Macaca fascicularis: one gene and its partner. The protein of the gene in region 2 purifies or fractionates together with the protein of the main gene of each other region. This does not show direct contact. Links are inferred from orthologs where the notes say so. Each region holds a gene or a part of one and is shown on either strand. Other genes may lie near its edges.

Region 1 (3,812 bases), on a different chromosome or scaffold from region 2:
CTTTGGTTTCTCTGCCTAGTCTTCTAACCCAGAGCTGATCAAACTTTTTTTTTTGAGACGGGGTCTCTTTCTGTCGCTAGGCTGGAGTGCAGTGTCGCGATCTCGGCTCACTGCAACCTGCCTCCCAGGTTCAAGCGATTCTCTTGCCTCGGCCCCTCAAGTAGCTGGGACTACAGGCGTGCGCCACCACACCATGTTAATTTTTGTATTTTTAGTAGAGATGGGGTTTCACCATGTTGGCCAGGATGGTCTCGATCTCCTGACCTTGTGATTTGCCCGCCTCAGCCTCCCAAAGTGCTGGGATTACAGGCGTGAGCCACTGCGCCTGGCCTGAGCTGATCGAACTTTAATGTGCACAGGAATCACCTGAGGAGCTTGTTAAAACATAAGATTCTGATTCTGAAGGTCTAGGGTGCATGATGTCTGTAGTTTTGTATTTAAAACAAGTTTCCAAGTGATGCTGATACTCTCTGCCCATACTTAGGAGTAGCAAGGCTCCGTCTGCTCTATCCAGTATTTTCTCCATGATTAAGGCACAGTTCTAATCAAGTCACTCCTCTGCACCCTTCACTAAAAAAAGAAAACACACACACACATAGACACACACACATACACACACACATATCCAATGGCTCCCCAATACTCAGACAGTAAAGTCTAAGATTCTTAGTCTGGTTTTTAAGGCACTGCATAAACTAACCCTAAGCTAATCTCCTCAATACCTTTAGGCACCAGCCAAAGTGGAGTATCACTTTTCCCCCATACTTAAATTTCACCTGTTCCTGAAGATTCAGCTTACTTTGGCAAGCGCAGTGGCTCAGGCTTTTAATCCCAACACTTTGGGAGGCCGAGGTAGGTGGATCACCTGAGGTCAGGAGTTGGAGACCAGCCTGGTCGACATGGCGAAACCCCATCTCTACTAAAAATACAAACTATTAGCAGGGCGTGGTGGTGGGCGCCTGTAATCCCAGCTACTTGGGAGGCTGAGGCAGGAGAATCGCTTGAACCCAAGAGGCGGAGGTTGCAGTGAGCCGAGATTATGCCATTGCACTCCAGCCTGGGTAACAAGAGTGAAACTCCATCTCAGAAAAAAAAAAAAAGATTCGGCTTACTGCTAACACCTAAATAAATCTTTATTGAAGCCGGACGTGGTGGCTCATGCCTGTGATCTCAGCACTTTGAGAGGCTGAGGCAGGTGCCTCACTTGAGCTTAGGAGTTCAAGACCAGCCTAGGCAACATAGTGAGAACTCGTCTCTATTTAAAAAACAAAACAAAAACTTAATTGAAGTCTTCCTACCCCTATCCTACTCAGAATCCTCCTAGACTGGAAGTAATTCCTCTCTTTTCTATGCTCAATAGATGGCATCTCTTTATAATTCTCTGCTGCATCGATTATGCAAATACAATCCTATAAAGTAGAAAATACATATTTTATAGCTGTCTCACCAAACATTGAGAATTTGAAGGCAGGGTTTGGTCATATCTATCTTTCACAATACATGTAGCATAGCCACAGCACAATGAAGGCAACACATGTTTATTAAATGTTGGAATAAAAGAATTTAAAATGGCTTCTAAAGAAAAATTATATGAAAAAGAAAATGTTAAATCCAAGGTCTAAATAAACACTTCTTTTTTTTTTTTTTTTTGGGGAAATGGAGTCTTGCTCTGTTGCCTAGGATGGAGTGCAGTGGCACGATCTCGGCTCACTACAACCTCTGCCTCCCAGTTTCAAGCAATTCTCCTGCCTCAGCCTCCTGGGTAGCTGGAATTACAGGCGTGCACCACCATGCCCAGCTAATTTTTGTATTTTCAGTAGAGATGGAGTTTCACCATGTTGGCCAGGCTGGTCTCCAACTCCTGACTTCAAGTAATCCAACTGCCACGGCCTCCCAAAGTGCAGGGATTACAGGCGTGAGCCACCTGCCTGGCCAAGAAAACACTTCTTGATTTAAAAAATAACTAGCTCGTAATATTAGCTATTAAAAAGTTAAACTGGGAGAGCATACCTCTAAGATTCTAGTATAAAATAACTAAAGATAGTTATATTAATACTCACCATTTTCTTTAGATTTGCAGCTAAATGAGGTATATTTCTAATTGTTTCAAGGTGGGTTTCTAATCTCTCAATGAAAGTCACAGCCAATTCCAGCAAATGTACCATATATCTGAAAGAGAAAGAAAAAAGTCAACCATTTTTTTTTTTTTTGAGACAGAGTCTCGCTCTGTCGCCTAGGCTGGAGTGCAGTGGCCGGATCTCAGCTCACTGCAAGCTCCACCTCCCGGGTTCACGCCATTCTCCTGCCTCAGCCTCCCGAGTAGCTGGGACTACAGGTGCCCGCCACCTCGCCCGGCTAGTTTTTTGTATTTTTTAGTAGAGACGGGGTTTCACCGTGTTAGCCAGGATGGTCTCGATCTCCTGACCTCGTGATCCGCCCGCCTCGGCCTCCCAAAGTGCTGGGATTACAGGCTTGAGCCACCGCGCCCGGCCTAACCATTTTTTAAAGTTTAATTGTTTTGCGTTCTTTTTCTTTTCCTTTAATCAGGACTTTTAATTTGAGATAAGAATTACAATCAACCTAGAGAGCCAATAACAACCTTCCTGCATTCATAGAAATATTAGTGATTAAAAAAAGGTCCTTCTCTTTCACTTTAAGCAACCTGTCATCCAATAAAAAAATGGAAAGAGATAACAGTAATCATATCTGGAATCCAACTTAATGTTAAAGAAACCTCAATGTTAATCATAATCATTTTCTCATATAAGTAAAGGAATTTCCCTAGATAAAAAAAATCCCATTCTGTTTCCTTTTTCTTTTTTTTTTTTTTTGAGATGGAGTCTCACTATGTCACCAGGCTGGAGTGCAGTGGCACAATCTCAGCTCACTGCAACCTCCGCCTCCTGGGTTCAAGCAATTCTCCTGCCTCAGCCTCCTGAGTAGCTGGGATTAGAGGCACATGCCACCATGCCCAGCTAATTTTTGTATTTTTAGCAAAGACAGGGTTCATTATGTTGGCCAGGATGGTCTCAATCTCCTGACCTCATGATCCACCCGCCTCAGCCTCCCAAAGTGCTGGGATTACAGACATGAGTCACCTCGCCCGGCCCCATTTATTTCTTTTTGAGACAGAGTCTCATTCTGTTGCCCAGGCTGGAATGTAGTGGCACAATCTCGGCTCACTATAACCTCCGCCTCCTGGATTCAAGTGATTCTTGTGCCTCAGCCTCCTGAGTAGCTGAGATTACAGGCATGCACCACTACACTCAGTTACTTTTTGTATTTTTAGTAGAGACAGGGTTTTGTCATGTTGGCCAGGCTGGTCTCAAAGTCCTGGCCTCAAGTGATCCACCCATCTTGGCCTCCCAAATTATTAGGATTACAGGCGTGAGCTATGACGCCCGGCCTCATTCCATTTCAACCTACTCATTCTCTGTGAAAAATGAAGACAATAAGAATAAATGTACTTCATTGAAATAGCCTACATAGAAAGCTACTTTGAATCTCTGCATTTGCAAAAACGCTTTCAAATCATTGCCCAGTTCTTAGATGTAGTACAGTATATACGCTAAGGGTAATGATAATGTACTAAAGAGATACTGAATATAGCCACAGGAAAGGGGTTTTGTTTTGTTTTTTGTTTTGAGACAGAGTCTCACCTGTTGCCCAGGCTGGAGTGCAGTGGCACAATCTCAGCTCACTGCAACCTCTGCCTCATGGGTTCATGTGATTTTCCTGCCTCAGCCTCACCAGTAGCTGGTATTACAGGCATGTGCCACCATGCCCAGCATATTTTGTATTTTTTGGTAGAG
Region 2 (4,273 bases):
TCCGTGTCACAGTGTAAGCTCCAGGAGGGCAAGGACTTGTTCTCTGTTTGTGGCTGTTTCCCCAGAGCTGGTGTTCTAGGTATACAGCTGTTATTCTAGGCACTGGAAATATAAGTGACTGAGATGACAAAACCTCCTGGCCTCATGGACCTTCCATCCTAATGGTGGGAGTTGAGAATTCTGGAACCCAAGAAGGGATCGGGGCAGAGCCCTGAGGTCTCTAAGAGAATGTCTGGCTGCCCAGCCTGGTGAGGGTGGGTCCCTGAGGCCCACCTCTCCATGTCCTGCAGGCGCCTCAGTTGATTCTGCAGCCGCTGCATGGGATCTCGGAGCCTATGCTGCTGTCTTCGCATGGCCCCAGCTTGGGCCCGGAGGAGGAGAGCTCGACGCTGGGTGTCTTGAGTGTGCTGAAGTGCCTGCTCCATGGCTGTGTCTGTAGGAGGAACAAGGGTGGCCATCAGCACCTTTCCCGGCCCACATTCTGTTGCCCATTTTCTGGCCCCATGGCTCACCCTGAGCCTCAGTGTCTCGCTCCATCAGCTCCAGGCTCTGGTCGAGCTCCTGGATTTCTGCCCGCAGGCGGGTCACGGTAGCTTCCAGCTCTAACTTCCGACGGACCTGGGAGGATCAGATTCAGGGTGAGATGCACGGTCTGATCGGGGTTCAGCCTGGCCTGTCTTTTGGGGGTACCAGGCTCCTCAACTGGTGGCAAAGGGTTTTTGCTCAGCAGTTTCTGTGTCTGACGCAGAAGCATTAGGGTACTGGCTCCCTCCTTCCTCTTAGGATTGTCTTACCCATACTTCCAGCCTGTTTCCTGTTTCCTGTCTGTGCTGATGACAACCACATCTTTGTCCTAGTATTGATCTCTTCCTGGAGCCCTGCACCTAGAAGTCCCAAGGACTCCTGGAAGCCTCCCCTCAGGTGTCATATGAGCCTCTTACACCCACTAGGTCCTACACTGGCCTCAGCATCTCTCCCAAACCTGTCCCTTCATCTCTTCTCAGCAGCTTTGATGCCACATATCCATGTCCCACCTCTCTGCCCCCAGCTAATACTATCTCTTTATATTTTTTTCTTTTTTTGGACAGAGTCTCACTGCATTGCCCAGGCTGGAGTGCAGTGGAGCGATCTCGGCTCACTGCAACCTCTGCCTCCCAGGTTCAAGCAATTCTCCTGCCTCAGCCTCCCAAGTAGACAGGATTACAGGTGTGCACCACCACACCTGGCTAATTTTTTATTTTTAGTAGAGATGGGGCTTTACCATGTTGGACAGGCTGGTCTCGAACTCCTGACCTCAGGTGATCCGCCCGCTTCAGCCTCCCAAAGTGCTGGGATAACAGGTGTAAGCCACTGCTCCCAGCTGAGCTAATGCTATCTCCACTGGACTTTAAGCCCTATGAGGATGGGGATCAGGGCTATCTTGTGACCCATTGTCCCCAGCATCACCCAGCACCTGGTTGGGCTTAGAGCAGGAGATCTACAAATCATTTTTCGGATGAAAGAGAATCTTGCAGCATATGCTTCTTACCTGTGGACTGTCCTGGTGGCCATACCTAGGAAAATGAGACCAGAGTCAGTGGATGAGTGGGGCTTCCAGTGGGGAGGGCAACAGGTGTGATGCTGTGGTGAGGACAGGGCTAGATGGGAGTGGGGATAGGAAGGGATAGCTTTAAGAAGCAGTTACCAGAGTAGGTTTCCTCGGATCTTCTTGACAGTCCTACAGTGCAGAGGAAAAAAGAGGAGTTACTACGGACCTCACCTGTGCCCCCTCCCCTACTCTAGCCCAACTTACCTCTGACTGTGCACATGCTGCAAGATGTAGGCCCAGATGTCAGCCCCCTGGCCCAGACACAGCCTGTGGGGACAGTGTGTAAGCGTATGCCTGGGGCAGCACACAGGGTGTGGGATCCTCATTCCCAAGGTGATGGTGGTAGGGAGTCTTTATTAGGGAGTTCTCACTTCTTGGGGAGGGAAGGCCCAAACTTTTTTTTTTTTTTTTTTTTTTAGGGACAGAGTCTCGCTCTGTTACCCAGGCTGGAGTGCAGTGGTATGATCATAGCTCCCTGCAGCCTTAACCTTCTGGGCTCATGCGATCCTCTCACCTCAGCCTCCAGAACAGCTAGGACTACAGGCAGGCACCACTACACCCGGCTAATTGGTAAAACATTATTTTTGTAGGGACTGGATCTTTGCACTAAGTATGGTGGTATTCTCATTCCCCGGGAAGGCGGGGGTGGGGGATGGGGGGTGGGGGTGGGGGTGAGTGGCGAGGGCTCCCTTTCTCCTGGGAGAGGGTTATCCAGTCACATTCAGAGGTGGAGGTGGGGGATGTACTGCCAGGAAGTGCCATCTCATGGCCAGATGTGGGGCATCACTCCTACAGATTCAATCCCGATGGGGTGGCCACGGCTAACTCCTGAGTGTCCTTTTTGGTTGGGGTAAGGGTGGGAAGGGGAGGTGCTGCGGGGACAGCCTCACCCTGGAGATCCTATTTCCATACGGAGAGGGATCTTCACTAACTCGTGGAGGATTCTCACCAGTGCTAGGGACCTCACTCTGGGAAGCCTCCCAGGGCAGGGAGCCCTCAGTAACTCGGGTCACTTTCGATGGGGAACGGGGGGTCGAGTCCTCAATGAGGGGTGGAGATCTCACTCCCGGAGACTCAATCTCCAGGGTGGGGAGTCCTCACTCCAGGAGCGGTCCTCACCTGCGCAGCGTCGATTCCCGGGCTCGGGCTGCCACGGGCACCCCCATCTCTTCGGCCGCCCAGCAACTCAGTTCCCGCGCTTCCCGCGCTAGCTCCATGACAGCGCCACAGCTGCGCCACCGCCTCCCTCAGCCTCTTCAAGTGTGGCGCCCGCCTCTGACGTCACGGACGCGCCAACAGGACGTCATCGGTTGCCGGGCAGACAGCGGGCTCCGGCGCTGCGTAGTAACCTTAGCGTGGTAAGGTTGGGTCTTGCAGCGCTCACTCTTCCCAGGTGGGTCTCCTTGAGTGGAAATGAAAAGGGCGTGGAGAGCCGGCGGCCCCGCCCGCCTTCCCTCGTTCTCTCGCTCACTACCAGCTAACCCGAAAGAGGCAAAAGAGTCCTTGATGCTTCCCTTTATTTTCTTCTTCTTCTTTTAATTAAACATTTTTATTTTAGGCCGGGCGCGGTGGCTCAAGCCTGTAATCCCAGCACTTTGGGAGGCCGAGACGGGCGGATCACAAGGTCAGGAGATCGAGACCATCCTGGCTAACACGGTGAAACCCCGTCTCTACTAAAAAATACAAAAAACTAGCCGGGCGAGGTGGCGGGCGCCTGTAGTCCCAGCTACTCGGGAGGCTGAGGCAGGAGAATGGCGTGAACCCGGGAGGCGGAGCTTGCAGTGAGCTGAGATCCGGCCACTGCACTCCAGCCTGGGCGGCAGAGCGAGACTCTGTCTCAAAAAAAAAACAAAAACAAAAAAACAACATTTTTATTTTAATAGAGATGGGATCTCACTATGTTGCCCAGGCTAGTCTCAGCTTCTGGGCTCTTGAACTCCTGGGCTAAAGCGATCCTCCCGCCTCAGCCTCCCAAAGTGTTGGGATTACAGGTGTGAGCCACCGTGCCCGCCCCCTTTATTTTGTTGACAAAATGGGACTTGCAGCCTAGGAGGACTGGAACCAGGGAATGAGATCCTGGACTTACTGCTCTTTGATTTCAGAAACAGGTGTCCCATGTCTGAGTGGAGGGTAGGGGCAGATAGTATGACCCTAACATTTCCCTGGCATGCATTTTCCCATTCATTTGTGCTTACCATTCCATAAACTCAGGGAGCTGACTCTGTGCTGGGTGATGCTGGGGACAACATGGTGACCACGACAGCCCTTGTCCCTATTGTACAGAGCTCACAGTTCAGTGGGGAGACAGACACACCACCAGGTAGGGATGGTAAAAATAAGCAGCAGGGGTGGGTCAGTTTGGGACACAGCAGGTGTGAGAGGTCTGCGGGATGCCCAGAAAGCAGTAGGGCTGGAGTTCTGGCGAGCCTGCTGGGCCCCGTCAGAGAGCTGAATGCGCTGTGGGCATCAGTATGAGACCAGAGCAGAGGAAGACGGGCCCTGAGGAAAGGCAGTATTTATGGAACTTTCACTCAGCGGGCTTGCCTAGGCCATCACTTTCTCCTTGGTGTCCAGTTCAGAGCCTGGCTTTCGAAATAGTTGTTGAATTAGGCCGGGCATCGTGTTTCACGCCTGTAATCCCGCACTTGAGAGGCTGAGGTGGAAAAATCATTTGAGGTCAGGAGT

What was found.
Region 1: the proteins of HAUS5 (region 2) and HAUS2 purify together in Homo sapiens (affinity purification with mass spectrometry; 5 studies listed by BioGRID and IntAct, with this or other methods). This does not show direct contact. The link is inferred for Macaca fascicularis from reciprocal best matches to the Homo sapiens genes HAUS5 and HAUS2.

The regions. Positions count from the first base shown.
Region 1 is NC_088381.1:19,171,971-19,175,782, reverse strand, and holds part of HAUS2 (HAUS augmin-like complex subunit 2), read right to left. Parts: intron 2,170-3,812; coding exon 2,061-2,169; intron 1-2,060.
Region 2 is NC_088393.1:42,849,957-42,854,229, reverse strand, and holds the start of HAUS5 (HAUS augmin-like complex subunit 5), read right to left. Parts: upstream 2,853-4,273; 5' UTR 2,806-2,852; coding exon 2,708-2,805; intron 1,856-2,707; coding exon 1,793-1,855; intron 1,718-1,792; coding exon 1,685-1,717; intron 1,554-1,684; coding exon 1,529-1,553; intron 619-1,528; coding exon 513-618; intron 434-512; coding exon 274-433; intron 1-273.